2 linked regions of the Sus scrofa genome follow. The protein of the gene in region 1 interacts with the protein of each later gene in a pairwise test. Links are inferred from orthologs where the notes say so. Each region holds a gene or a part of one and is shown in the gene's direction. Other genes may lie near its edges.

What was found.
Region 2: the proteins of POLDIP3 (region 1) and ERH interact in a two-hybrid assay, tested with the Homo sapiens proteins (2 studies listed by BioGRID, with this or other methods). The link is inferred for Sus scrofa from reciprocal best matches to the Homo sapiens genes POLDIP3 and ERH.

The regions. Positions count from the first base shown.
Region 1 is NC_010447.5:6,189,164-6,195,943, forward strand, and holds part of POLDIP3 (polymerase delta-interacting protein 3), read left to right. Parts: intron 1-191; coding exon 192-284; intron 285-2,418; coding exon 2,419-2,598; intron 2,599-3,081; coding exon 3,082-3,159; intron 3,160-5,907; coding exon 5,908-6,037; intron 6,038-6,780. UniProt on the Homo sapiens protein: Is involved in regulation of translation. Is preferentially associated with CBC-bound spliced mRNA-protein complexes during the pioneer round of mRNA translation. Contributes to enhanced translational efficiency of spliced over nonspliced mRNAs.
Region 2 is NC_010449.5:93,079,833-93,087,249, reverse strand, and holds the start of ERH (enhancer of rudimentary homolog), read left to right. Parts: upstream 1-3,299; 5' UTR 3,300-3,367; coding exon 3,368-3,370; intron 3,371-5,504; coding exon 5,505-5,592; intron 5,593-7,417. Other genes in the region: SLC39A9 (zinc transporter ZIP9), read right to left, coding at 2,112-2,207. UniProt on the Homo sapiens protein: May have a role in the cell cycle.

The DNA.
Region 1 (6,780 bases):
GGACTTGCAGCACTTTCACTGCACCCTTGTGGCCAGGGAACCAGCCTGCCGGGACTTGAGTCCCAGTCCAGGCCAGTCTCCCCAGGTACTCTCCCTTCACCTCACTCCAGCCCTCATCTCCCTGCTGTCCTTGCTCCAGATGTTTGTTGAAAGCCTGTGTGCCACATTAAGTTACATTTCTTTATTTTCAGAATTTATATGACCTGGATGAAGACGATGATGTAGCTCCCATTCCTAGTAAACAGATGAAATTTGTAGCCCCGGGCAACTTTCTCCACCATGTGGTATGGCCTTTTGTGTTTTTCCCTCACTCTCCGTGCGTGTCTGATCAGGTGCATGGGAGAGGGGATGGAGAGATGGGCCTTTCAAAGCAGCAGTACTTCTTCATTCAGGTCGTAAGATTATCAGAAGTGGAACTGGTTTATAAATGCTGAGACCATTGTGTCCACTGACTTGTTCAGGTTCCCACAAAGCGTGACGTGCAGGGCTGCAGCTCCCAATTGCCGTGTTTAAGGCACTTCCCGGGAAATGTGAGAGATCCTGCAGAACGGAGTCCCGTTTTATTTCCTTTGCAGCCGGACGTTCTGCCTGTTACCCTTCCTTCCATAGTCAGCAACTCTCCTCCCATTCTTGAATCTGGATTCCCTTGGTTGGTGTGTTAGCAAGAATAAACTGAACCTTGCCTGAGGGTTCCACCAGGTGCAGCCTGCATATGGGGAAAACTTGGTGAATGAGGATGCTTAGGTACCACACAGAGGGGGAAAGAAAGCGATGTCTGGAAATATCCAGAGGTCTGTGCCGCTCAGCCCAGTAGATACGGCCCAGGCACCCATAGGGAGCCAAGTGGGGTCCCAGGCCAAGTGCCTTTGTTTGGCCTTCAGAGACTCTGTTTTGGTCACTGCACTGAATACGTGGACCGATTTCCTGGTTACCATTGGAGCCTTTTTTTTTGCTTTTTAGGGCCGCAACTGAGGCATATATGGAAGTTCCCAGGATAGGGGTCAAATCAGAAGTATAGCTGCTGGCCTACACAACAGCCACAGCAACACTGGATCCGAGCTGTGTCTGCAACCTATGCTACAGCTCATGGCAACACCGGAGGCCAGGGATTGATCCTGCATCTTCATGGATACTAGTCAGGTTCATTACCACTGAGCCACAACGGGAACTCCATGGTTACCACTGAAGCTCTTAAAGTGATGTGTGAAGTTGCAAGAGGCCAGTTTGTTACAAAGGGGCTTGGGCCTACTACCAAACTGGAAAAAACCCTGTTTTATGTTAACTCATTAAAGACTTCCCTTCCCACCTTGTGAGGTGAGTACTATGATTACCCTTATTTTACAGATGAGGATTTAGGCAGAGAGGTTAAATAAACCTCCTGAGTTTGTAGCTAGTGGGTCTAGATTTAAGGCTAAGCAGTCTGGCTCCCAGGCTGTGTGTTTAACCACTACACTATACTGGCTCTTGAGACTCAAAAACACCTTGAGAAATGTGAGATCCAGGATGAATCTGGATTCAGAGAAGCTGGTGAATTGACCCTGTCCCGTAATGTGCCTGTCTGGCTGCTGCATTCCTCCTTTCTCCCTGAGTCAGTGCCTGGTGGACACTGTCCTGAATGGAGAAGACCACCTGCCGCTTCTGCCTCTTGCATCTTTTTCCTCAGACACATTAAGTCCGGGGAGTTGGCTGGTTTATTTTTCCAAGGGACCCACATCCCCAGTTGGGGCCAGCAGGGGAGGGAGGGAACTGTTCCTGCTGGTCTGCGTGTGCTGACTCTGCCAACATGTCCCTGACAGTCTGGGAGCTGTGGAGGCAAGGTTATGCACAATATCTGTATGGCCGGAGCAGGGAGGGACCCAAAAGCTGGGAGCCTGGGCCTTCTTAAGAGTGAGTTCCTATTCCCAGCCAGCATGTTGTTTTTTGTTTTGGGGCGGGGGCGGGGTGGGGGGGTGTTGGCTATACCTGTGGCATGCAGAAGTTCCAGGACCAGGATTCAAACCTGAGCCACAGCAGTGAAAACACCAAATCTTTAAGCACTAGACCACCAGGGAATGTCCTAGCCAGCCCATTGTAGTAGAAGCATATCTGGAAATGAACTTGAGCCCGTTTTTGGCCTCTGACTAATCCCAGACTATAGAGTTTTTATGAAGTCTTAACGGTGTGGTTGAGCTTATGGCTTCTGTTCAGGACTGTGTGGAAGCATCTTTCCTAAGGGCTTCCAACACTGGAAAGTAGCTCCTGTGAGCACCTATGCAGGCTGTTTTCTCTCTTCCTGCTCCTCCCTTGGCAACTGGCACCTCTCTGGTTTTAGACCACTAATAGAATTGGGGAGGTGGGAGGCCTTGGGCTTGGGGTTTTGCCGCCCCCACTGGGTGTCCAGTCCTAGCCTCTCAGATTCCTGTCTGCCTCTTTGTTTAGGCTGGGCTGAGCAGTTCCAAGCTTTCCATGTCCAAGGCCCTTCCTCTCACCAAAGTGGTTCAAAATGATGCATACACAGCTCCTGCTCTCCCTTCCTCTGTTCGAACAAAAGCCTTGACCAACATGTCCCGGACTCTAGTGAACAAGGAGGAGCCCCCCAAAGAACTGCCGCCTGCTGAGGTGAGGTGATGGTGAAGGAGAGGAAGTGACCGCACTAGTTGAGGGTTAGCCTCTGCGGGGTGGGCGACGTGCTGTGTGTACCCTGCCAGGTCCTCAAAGTGCCTCTGTGAGATAGGCATTGCCACCCCCATTTTACAAAACCCAGTAGCCCCTGTGCCTAGTGATAGAACAGGGGGCTGCTCGGAAGAGGGCTGCCCAGAGCACCGAGGAAAGAGCATCTCACTCCACTGGAGAGATCCGAGGAGGCTTTAAGGAGAAAGGGTGGTCTGGGCTTTGTGGCTCTTGAAACTTGAGTGACATTCTAGGCATATTTAGGAAGTGATGAGAGATTCCATCCCTTAGTGTAAGGTGACGGGGGCATGATTAGAGGCCTGGTGGTGACGGGGTTTCCTCTGGGCCTGCCTGGCTGGTTACCTGCAGTGAGTTCTGCTGTTTGAGCACTGCTCTCCTCTGACTCCAGTAATGCTCTTTTGTCTGTGGCAGCCTGTCCTCAGCCCTTTGGAAGGTACCAAGATGACGGTGAATAATCTGCACCCTCGAGTCACCGAGGAAGACATTGTTGTGAGTATTGTGGCCTACCAGAATTTTAAATCTCAAGCCACTTCTGTTTCAGGGGCCCCCAGGACCACCCCCAGGTTCACTGATTCTCTAAGAGGACATGCTGGCCTTAGCTTCGAGTTATGTGGGGGCTAAGATTCATTACAGGATACAGAGCAAAATCAGTGAGGGAAAAGGCCCATCGGGCAAAGGTTAGAGGAAGCCAGCTGCAAACTTCTGGAGTCTCTCCCAGTGGAGTCACACAGGATGTGCTTTATTCCCCCAGCACTTGGTTGTGACGATGCATGTGAAACCAGGGGAGCCCTTTGGAGAGTTGGTGCCCAGGGTTTTTATCAGGGACTGGTTGTGTAGGCACCCTCTGCTGTATATAGCACATACCGAAACTCCAGACTCCAGAGGAAGGCAAGTGCTTAGCATAAACCACGTTGTTTGTCTAGGCACAGTGCACCACTCTTACCAGTTAGGGTGGTGGGAGCCCTCCCAGAATCCGGGGTCCCAGAGGATAGCAGTCAGGCTGGCTATGTTAACCCTCCTCCTCTTAGCTTCTAAACCAGGGCCAGGGGATCGTGCCGGCTTAAGTCGTGAATGGGATCCTTTAGTCCTGCTGTGGAAAATCCAGTGGTTCATATTTTCCCAAGAGTCTTTGGAATTTCTGCCTCCTTTAGGGGTTTTCATAATGACTCCAAAGTAAATAGTAATGACTCCTGAGAGAGATGGATTGGTGTCGTCTGGCAGTTGGCCCTTCTGGATTGTCCTTCTGGTCCATCCTGTCCCACCCTTAGCAGTCCTGGGCAAAACCTAATTCAGGTACTTGTGAAGAGTGACCCAGATGCAACCAGGACTTCTTTCAACCTTATTTTCATTCAGGCATCAAGAAAACCTTTTAGGAGTTCCTTTCTTGGCTCAGCAGTTAATGAACCTGACTAGCATCCATGAGGACGTGCGTTTGATCCCTGGCCTCGCTCAGTGGGTTAAGGATCTGGTATTGCCGTGAGCTGTGGTGTAGGTCACAGGCGCAGCTCAGATCTCAAGTTGCCGTGGCTGTGGCATAGGCCGGCGGCTACAGTTCTGATTGGACCCCTCACCTGGGAACCTCCATATGCCACTGGTGCGGGCCTAAAAAGACCAAAAAAAAAAAAAAAGGAAAGAAAACCTGTTAAAGAATTCAGGCATGATTTTGACTCACCTGTTAGATCACAGAATGAATGCATCCAGATGCTAGCTTCTCCCTGCAACTGAGTCCCAGGTTGTGTAACAGCCCACACTGGCCACCACATTTGTTAATGGTTTTATGTATGAGTGTTGTGTGATTGCTTTGTGAACGATGCACACGAGAGGAAATTGTAGCCTACTTTCTGTAATACTAGACAAATTATAAAGATTAAAACAATTTGGAGTTCCTGTCGTGGCTCAGTGGTTAACGAATCCAACTAGGAACCGTGAGGTTGCGGGTTCGATCCCTGGCCTTACTCAGTGGGTCAAGGATCCAGTGTTGCCGTGAGCTGTGGTGAGGTCCCAGATGCGGTTCGGATCCTGCGTGGCTGTGGCTGTGGTGGAGGCTGGCAGCTACAGCTCCAGTTTGACCCCCAGCCTGGGAACTTCCATATGCCGCAGGTACGGCCCTAGAAAAGGCAAAAATAAAATAAAAGAACAACATTAATAAAATTCGGGTCACACTTAGTATTCAGTTTTGTGTCTTTTTTTTTTTTATGTATAGTATTTTCCCTTCTATCATTAGAAACAAGTCATTTCAACAACGTTTTCATAAATCTTCTTTGTCCTCATAACAACCTTGTGAAAAACAGTTACAGGTGGAATGGTGGCCTGAGTGCTAGTAAGTCTTTGCAGTCCACTTCCACATTGTGTTGTTCCCTTTCTTTTTTTGTTTTTGTTTTGTTTTGCTTTTTTAAATCTTTTTAGGGCTGTACCTGCAGCATATGAAAGTTCCCAGGCTAGGGGACAAAGCGGAGCTGTGGCCTCCGACCTACACCATAGCCACAGCAACGCCAGATCTGAGCTGCATCTGCAACCTGCACCACAGCTCATAGCAACGCTGGATCATTAACCCACTGATTGAGGCCAGGAATTGAACCTGCATCCTGATGGATATTAGTCGGATCTGTATCCGCTGGGCCACAATGGGAACTCCATGTTCCCTTTCTGGCCTCAGTCTCCTGGTCTGTAAAAGGAGGAGGGATTGGAGTAAATGGTGATCATAACGCATGTTGGCAAAGCACTGCCTTAAAAATGATTTCAGTTGAAACCCCTCCGTCCAGTCAAACCAGGATGGTTGGTCACCCTGTATAGAATTCTAGAATTTGTACTTGTAATGGATTCCCAGGTGATACGTTAGGCACTGTTCTGGGTGAGCCTGCATGTCCATTCTCATGACAAGCACTCTGAGAGAAATTCTGTGTTGCATGACTGTTGCCCTTGTTGAGGAAGTAGTAGGCACTGAGGCAGGAGGACTTCGGAGGTGACTTGGAGTCACGGGAACCTCCAGGGTTTGCAGGCCCAGATCCGTTTCTCACTGCCAGCACATCCGTCCTCTCATCTGGTGCCGTATTCAGGCCTGTGGATGTCCCAGGAACACCACCTAAAATGAAGCCTCCCTGGACTCTGGGGTGCTGGGCAGAGTCAGAGTGCAGCCACCAGTCAACCCAGAGCCATATTTAGAGTGCGTGAATGGCAGGCAGGCACGACGACTGCCCCAGATTCTCCCCCAACCCTAACTGCTCCTGTTCTTCGCAGGAGCTTTTCTGTGTGTGTGGAGCCCTGAAGAGGGCTCGGCTGGTCCATCCTGGAGTAGCAGAGGTGGTCTTTGTGAAGAAGGACGATGCCATCACCGCGTATAAGAAGTATAACAACCGGTGTCTAGACGGTGAGTCCGGGAGAAAGCAGCCACCTCCTGCTCCTTACTGCTTACAGCAGGCCTTCTGAGAAAGCCCTCCTGAGATGGACGTCCTGGTGCCTTATACCCTCTGGGGCCTCCTGCATACCAAGATCAGGCAGCAGCAGTGTGCAGTCGTCTGTTCCCCGGGGCCCTGCGTTTCTACCTGGCCTGAGCAGTTAAGTCTGGCTAGCAGAGAAACACCATTTTCCCATGGATGGTTCTCTAGGAGGTCTTGCCAGAGAAGCCAAGAGCCATAGCCTCCACTTTCCAGATGTCGGATATTGGTCTGCTTACCAGTAGGACCCAGGTTCCTCAAAGGCCTGGAGTTTTGTCTAAATATTGGCACCTGAGTGAGCTCTGCTCCTAGTGGTAAACTAGTTTTACTGAATTCAGATTTATATTCATCTCAGGATAGCCCGTAGAGAGAAACTCTGCCGTGCCCCTTCTATTCACTTCTTTCCATGTTTATCGAGTACACTGTGGACCAAAGCCCTGTGCTAGAAGTAGAGATGCAGAGGCTAATAAAAGACAGTCGGTGGAGTTCCCATCGTGGTGCAGTGGAAACAAATCCAACTAGGAACCGTGAGGTTGTGGGTTCGATCCCTGGCCTCGCTCAGTGGGTTAAGGATCTGGTGTTGCCGTGAGCTGGGGTGTAGGTCGTAGACACGGCTCGGATCCTGTGTTGCTGTGGTTGTGGTGTGGGCCAGCAGCTACAGCTACGATTAGACCCC
Region 2 (7,417 bases), on another chromosome or scaffold:
CAGTGGGTTAACGCGGTGTAGGTCGCAGACGCGGCTCGGATCCCGCATTGCTGTGGCTCTGGCGTAGGCCGGTGGCTACAGCTCCGATTAGACCCCTAGCCTGGGAACTTCCATATGCCGCGGGAGCGGCCCAAGAAATAGCAACAACAACAACAACAAGAAGACAAAAAGACAAAAAAAAAAAAATAATAATAATAATAAAATTTAACACTCTGCTAATCTAACAAATAAAGTTGACAGGCAGATTTCCTGTTGTGGCGTAACAGATACGAATCCGACTGGTAAACCATGAGGTTGCGGGTTTGATCCCTGGCCTCATTCAGTGGGTTAAGGATCAGGCATTGCCGTGAGCTGTGGTGTAAGTCGAAGATGTGGCTTGGATCCTGTGTTGCTGTGGCTGTGGCGCAGGCTGGCAGCTGTAGCTACGACTAGACCCCTAGCCTGGGAACCTCCATATGCCGCAAATGCAGCTGTAAAAAAAGCCAAAAAGAAAAAAAAAAGAAAGAAAGAATGTCTGCAGGCTAGATTTTGTACATGGGCTACCAGTTTACTACCTTTGCCACAATGGACAGTGGCTAAGAATTGCTCTGAGTCAGTTAAACCTAAATCAAAAAAACAGCTCTGATTCTAACACATTTCATGAACTTGTCCAAGTGACATAATCCAAGTCTCAGTCTCCTCATCTGTACCTCGCTGGGTTTTGTTTTGTTTAATGTAATTAGGTAATGTATACACTCAAATTTTATCTCAATATTATCATTAGAGGTTAAGAGGAACAGATTAAAAAAAAGAAAAAAAGAAAGAAACGGAAAAGGAGCAGCAGCAATTGAGTCCCCCTTCCATGTGGCTGAGGGCTTTATTTCCAAGGTCATAATGCCTAGTCCCACTGCCTTTCTCACTCACAGGCTACTTTCTTGACCAATCTCTTTCTTCAGGTTTTTCAAGGCCACCTCACACCTCACCGCTACCTTTCCATTCTACTTCAGGCCATTCTCCACTCTCCTTTTCTTTTAAAGCATTTTCAGGCCTGGCAGTGAAGCCACTCCAAGCTATACCCAAGAAATCCTGAACGTAGTTGTTTTCCTCCCTCAAATCTCTGAGCACTGTGCATGCTGTGAACTTCCTATGACAACCTGAAGATCCTGATCTGCATTTTCATTGAACAACGTTTTCAACTATCCTTCTTCCTTTTTAATGGTTGTTCAAGTAATGACAAATAACCAAACAAGTTAAGCAAAATGTCAAACCATATCAACACAAAATTCATTTCTAAGCAAACAGATTTGAAAACAGCTTCAAATATCCATTCCAATGTCTCCTTCTGAAAAGGAAATGTGAATTAAGAACAATCTAATTTTGGAGTTCTGTCGTGGCGCAGTGGTTAACGAATCCGACTGGGAACCATGAGGTTGCGGGTTCGATCTCTGGCCTTGCTCAGTGGGTTAAGGATCCGGCATTGCCATGAGCTGTGGTGTAGACTGCAGAAGCGGCTTGGATCCCGCGTTGCCGTGGCTCTGGCGTAGGCCGGTGGCTATAGCTCTGATTCAACCCCTAGCCTGGGAACCTCCGTATGCCGTGGGAGCAGCCCAAGAAAAGGCAAAAAAAAAAAAAAAAGAGAGACAAAAAAAACCAACCAATCTAATTCAGTTTGGTTTCTTACTTCATTCTAATTACAGCTGTCCAAAAGAAAAAAACCCTTTCCCCAAAAAAGTATGCTTAATATTCTCACAGAGAGAAGTTAATATTGATTTCAACTCACATGGACAAATAAAGTTCTTCATTTATAGCAAGCTGGAATCTTGATTCTTTGGAACTTCTGAGTATCAAAAGAATGCTATGGTGCCTCTCTCCCAGAAAATGCACAGAGCCTCAAATTTTTGTATTCAATTTCAGGGCGTTCAGAGTATTCCAGGATCTTCAGTGGATCCACCCACCTCTGGTTAAAGAACACTAGTGCTGAATGTGAGGTTGTTATTAAATATCACGCATCTTTGGAGAGATATATAAAACCTTCAGCTCTAATATCAACAGGGGAAGCAGCTTCCCTTTACAACTATGACTACTTCCTAGCAGCCATGCTGACAGCTGACAGAAAATTGAGAATTTCTTACCTCTGAGAAATTAACAGCCAAAGGAATGATTCCAGCCACGTAACATCCCACCAACATAGCCAGAGACAGCAGACTAATAGAGATGAAATCATCCATTCTGCCCTCCTTTATTCACTCACCACCACCAGAGTACAAATTTTCGGTGGTCTCAAAGGGTACTTAGGTTCTTAAACGCGTGTGGTTGTTTCAGCAGAACAAGTAGACTTCCCAGTTCTTTTGTCCTCCCCACCAGCAGATATGTTCACGAGGCACTGTTCTCTTGAAGGTACCTGGAAACACTCCCTTTTTGTTGATACTAGCACCAGAGAGAACTTTGAGCAATCTTAGGTCGCAGCCCCTAAGTTTTCAGATATCAGTCACTGGATTCTCGTGGGTTAACAGATGAGAAAAGTCCAGGGGGAAAATATGCGAATGAGCGAGTTATTCAATCATTGTTATAAGGGTAGCATAACAGGCCTACTTCCTCCACAACGTTCCGGGCGGCAGCAACAAAAGGAAAAATCCAAGCGAAGATGTTTGTTCTCCGGGCGCCCCTATCTCCCTGGAGCAGCCCCGCCGGTGATTCCTCCAGGTCTGGGACCAGCCCACCAATCCCAGCAAACTCCTCTCCGAGTCTAGGATGAGGAAAGGAGTCCTGCAGGTCTCTAACGATTGGTCGTAGGGGCTCAGCAGGGAAGCTGATACAAAGCTGTCTCTGCCCTATACCCAGTGCTACCCATGTTACTCCACTCTGCTGGGCCTTGACCCGGAGCCACCAGTACTACAGCTGCCATGGCCGCCAAGTGGCATCTCTTCTTTACATCCACTTCCGGATTGCCTTACTGCCCCCTCCTTTAGAAGGGTACTTCCGGGTTGCAACCGACCTATGCCCCGGGATTCTTATATTGCCGCCATTTTTGAGTAGGGCCATTGAAAAAATGACTTGTGTAACTGTTTAAACCGATGATCACTGTAGCCTCATGTCTTACAGCGAAAGCGAGGAAGACAGATTCTTGGAAAGAAATATGATTTTTTTTAAGTTCCGATACATTCTCTCTATGTCTCGTCGCCCTTATTCAAAATGGCTGAAACAGAGTCAACATCTGCTCTAGCTGCCGGAAATAAAGGAGCCTCTATGGTTCAAAAGGTTCTTTCGCGGTGCCCTTCTGACGACTTCCGGCGGCTCCTCTCGCGGGGATTGGCTGTTGGCGGCGTTGCGGCTAAGCTCGTGTGCTGCAGCAGTGTCGGCAGCGGCTGCAGGAAAAGGGATCGGCGCGATGGTGAGAAAGGCCTAAGCGGCTCCCCGAGCCCCCAACCTCTGGGGCGACCCCTGCTCGTACATCTTCTCCCAACGCGGTCTAGCGCGCGCATGCTATTGCTCGGCTCTCCAGCCTGTAGATCGATCCTTCCCCTTCCCGCCGCGGAAACGCTGGGCCTGGCACTAGGCCGCTGAGCCCCGGTCCGCCCTGCGGTTGCGCGCCAGCCTGATGGCTCCGGCAAGGCGTGCGGTGCGGAGGATGCGCTTTCTCCCTATTGCTGCTTGGTAGAACCCGGCGTTGGGATGCTGACCTGTCTCTGCAAACGCTCTATCTTACTGTAGGAACAATGGGCGAGAGATGTCTGACAATCCTGTCTCTCCCCAAGCTTACAGCACCCAAAGTGTGGGCCAGGAGGAATCGTCTTTGCAGCGTGCTCAGCTATTCCCTTTGTTTTCTGTGCTCTGCCTTTTTGAAAATACGTGCAACCTTTTCTCTTTTCTGAGATGTACATGCTTGGTTTTGTGCTTCCCTTAGCCTTCAATCCTCTTTTTATCCTTATTTATATTCTTTGGGGCTGGAAGTTGAAAAGATAGGTTGAGCTGAGGGTCCAGGTTGCTTAGAACCTGGGTCGGTAGTGTAGTGGATGGGGGCGGGGGGTGTTGTTTGGTCGGTTTTGTTTTTTTGGGGTTTTCTTTTGCTTATGTGTGTGTGTTTTGTAATTCACAAAAAGGAAATGCTCTCAGGGATTCTGAAGAATCATGATTACTTCCATACTTTAGTTTTCGTTTTCAGTTTGCCACAGTTATTAACAGATTATGCATCTGTTATTAACAAGGAACTTTTTCATGTACTTCTCTGAATGGAGATACTTCAGTGTTTGACCCAACATAGTCTCCCAAGGAGGACTAGGAATTAGAAGACTGGGTTTTCAATTCTTGGTTTATTATAAATAATAATGTGACCTTGGGTATGTCATTTCATCTCAGTGAGTTTCCTTCCTTTTATGTCACTGTTTGGTCAGTTGTGTTAAAATACTTAGATTAAATCTGAGAAAAAGACAGCAGTTAGTAACAACCCATTCGCATTGAGCAGATATCTATGATTAGTTCTTTAATTCCGAGTAGAATTAAAAACTGGAGTTTGTATTTAAAGTCAACAGTTACTGGTTCAGAAGTCTTAAATTTTGTTGCCCTTACTGAACAACTTTAGTTTCTTTTTCTTCTCTCTGCCCCCATCTTTTTTCTTTTTTGATAGTTTGGGCGAAGCAATTAGTATCCATGAGGACTCAGGTTTGATCCCTGGCCTCGCTCAGTGGGTTAAGGATCCCGTATTGCTGTGAGCTGTGGTGTAGGTCACAGATGTGGCTCAGATCCTGAGTTGCTGTGGCTGCGGCGTAGGCCAGCAGCTACAGCTCTGATTTGAAGCCTAGCCTGGGAACTTCCATGTGCTGCACTTGCAGTCCTAAACAGACTAAATAAATAAATAAATAAATAAAGATAAAAGTACATCAACCCTCACCCCTTAAGGTGAGTCATCTCCAAGATGAATAATTTAATGGATTTTCTAAGGTGATGTTATATTAATTTTTATTTATTTATTTGTTTTAATTTTCCTTTTTAGAGCCATACCTGCAGCATATTCAAGTTCTTAGGCCTAGGGGTCGAATTGGAGCTACAACTGCCGGCCACAGCATTCAGGATCCAAGCCTGTCTGTGACCTACACCACAGCTCACGATGCAGGATCCTTAACCCACTGAGCAAGGCCAGGGATCTAACCACAACCTCATGCTTCCTAATTGGATTTGTTTCTGCTGCACCACGACAAGGAGTTTTTATTAGGGACTTAATACAGCTAGAGATAGAAAGAGACCAGTGGAGATAGAAAACCTAAGTAAGTTTTCAATCCAGCTGGGAAGAAAGATGCAAAAGAAAAAAAATAAACAGTACAAGGTAGCTAATGCTGAATACTTACAGACAGTAAGTGTAATAACAGTTTGAGAAAACAACCATTAAGAGTAAGAGACCTTGCAGAGGAGTTGTGAATCCAGCTTAATAACCAATGATCATTTGTGTCATGTTGCAGATTTTATCTCATACTAAGAATTTCTCAAGTATAAGTTAGAAACTTACATTAAAATCACTTTTCCCCCTGCAGTCTCACACCATTTTGCTGGTACAGCCTACCAAGAGGCCAGAAGGCAGAACTTATGCTGACTATGAATCTGTAAATGAATGCATGGAAGGTGAGTCTCATTTAGGACCTAGGTTTGTTTTTTCCTCCAGATTTCTTGAGGTGTTAATTCGAGCAGGGAAAGTAGATATTTAGGACCATGTTTGTTGAATACTTGAAATATTAATTATGCATGCTGTCTTATCAAGCTCTTGTATATAATGAATGTCTTTCCCAAGCCTCTGATTGTTCTGTAAAATTCTGTTATGTATTGTTATTTTGTTGTATTATGGAAGTATTTTACAGCTATCACTTATATATTCTGGATAAACTAAGCACTATAAAGTTGTTAAGGCAGGCAGGAGTGCCTACAGAACCAAATCTGCTTATAAGCAAATAAACATAGTTAAAAGCTGATTACAGTCCATAAGAATGTTGTTAGGAAATAATTAGCTCAGTGAATAAAGGCAAGTAGAACCTAATCAGTATAATTTATTGTGTATTTGATAAGATGGCACCACCCTGAAGGGAAGTATTAGCCTTCAATAAACTTTTCAGATGAGATCACATAAATTGGATCATCACAAATTGGATTAATCCTTACATTTATTTATTTATTTATTTATTTATTTATTAAATGGGAGTTGAGGAGGAGATGGATGATGTTCAGACAAAAAAGATGTTTCAGATGTTCCCTTCAGGTTCTCGCTTGGGTTTTGGTTGTTGTTCTTTTTTTTCTTTTTTGCCACAGAGGCAGTATGTGGGAATTCCTGGGCCAGGGATTGAACTTAGACACAGCAGCAACCAGAGCCACATTGGCGAGAGTGCAGGAGCCTCAACCCAGTAGGGCCATCAGAGAACTCCCTCATCCTTACATTTAATCATTATATCAAGTAAACCACTCGTGCACACCCTGCACCCTTTCTAATAAATTGTCCATTCTTCATTTCTTCTTTTTTTATTTTCTTAATTACTCAAATGAATTTATCACATCTATAGTTGTATAATGATCATAACAATCTGATTTCACAGGATTTCCATCCCACAACCCAAGCATATCCCCCCACCCCCCAAACTGTCTCCTCTGGAGACCATAAGTTTTTCAATGTCTGTGAGTCAGCATCTGTTCTGCAAAGAAGTTCAGTCTGTCCTTTTTTCAGATTCCACATGTCAGTGACAGCATTGGATGTTAGTGTCTCATTGTATGGCTGACTTCACTTAGCATGATCGTTTCTAGGTGCATCCATGTTGCAAAAAATGCTGGTATTTCGTTCTTTTTAATAGCTGAGTAATATTCCATTGTGTATATGTACCACATCTTCTTGATCCACTCCTCTGTCGATGGACATTTAGGTTGTTTCCATGTTTTGGCTATGCGTAAATAGTGCTGCAGTGAACAATGGGGTACATGTGTCTTTGTGAGTCGTGGTTTTTTCTGGGTAGATGCCCAGGAGTGGGATTGCTAGATCAAATGGTGGTTCTGTCACTTAGCAATACGTATTTAAGGTACTTCCCTTCATTTTGTAGCTTGATGGCCATAGCTTTTTTTTTTTTTAATTAGAAATGGTGGTTTATTTTCCATCTCAAAAGCTAAAACAAAAAAAGTTAAAGGAGTTACTAGAATCAGTTCTCACAGGGTGGTAGCCAAATGGTAATTTTCTTATTTCCTTATTTTTCATTGTTTTAGTAGTTAATATTCCTCGGGAATACAGAGCTTTCCCTTCCCGCATCATTTTTTTAAATGAATGGTTTCCTTTTTTTTTTTTGTCTTTTTAGGCTGCAGCCGCGGCATATGGAGGTTCCCAGGCTAGGGGTCTAGTCGGAGCTGTAGCCACTGGCCTACTCCAGAGCCACAGCAACGAGGATCCAAGCCGTGTCTTTGACCTACACCACAGCTC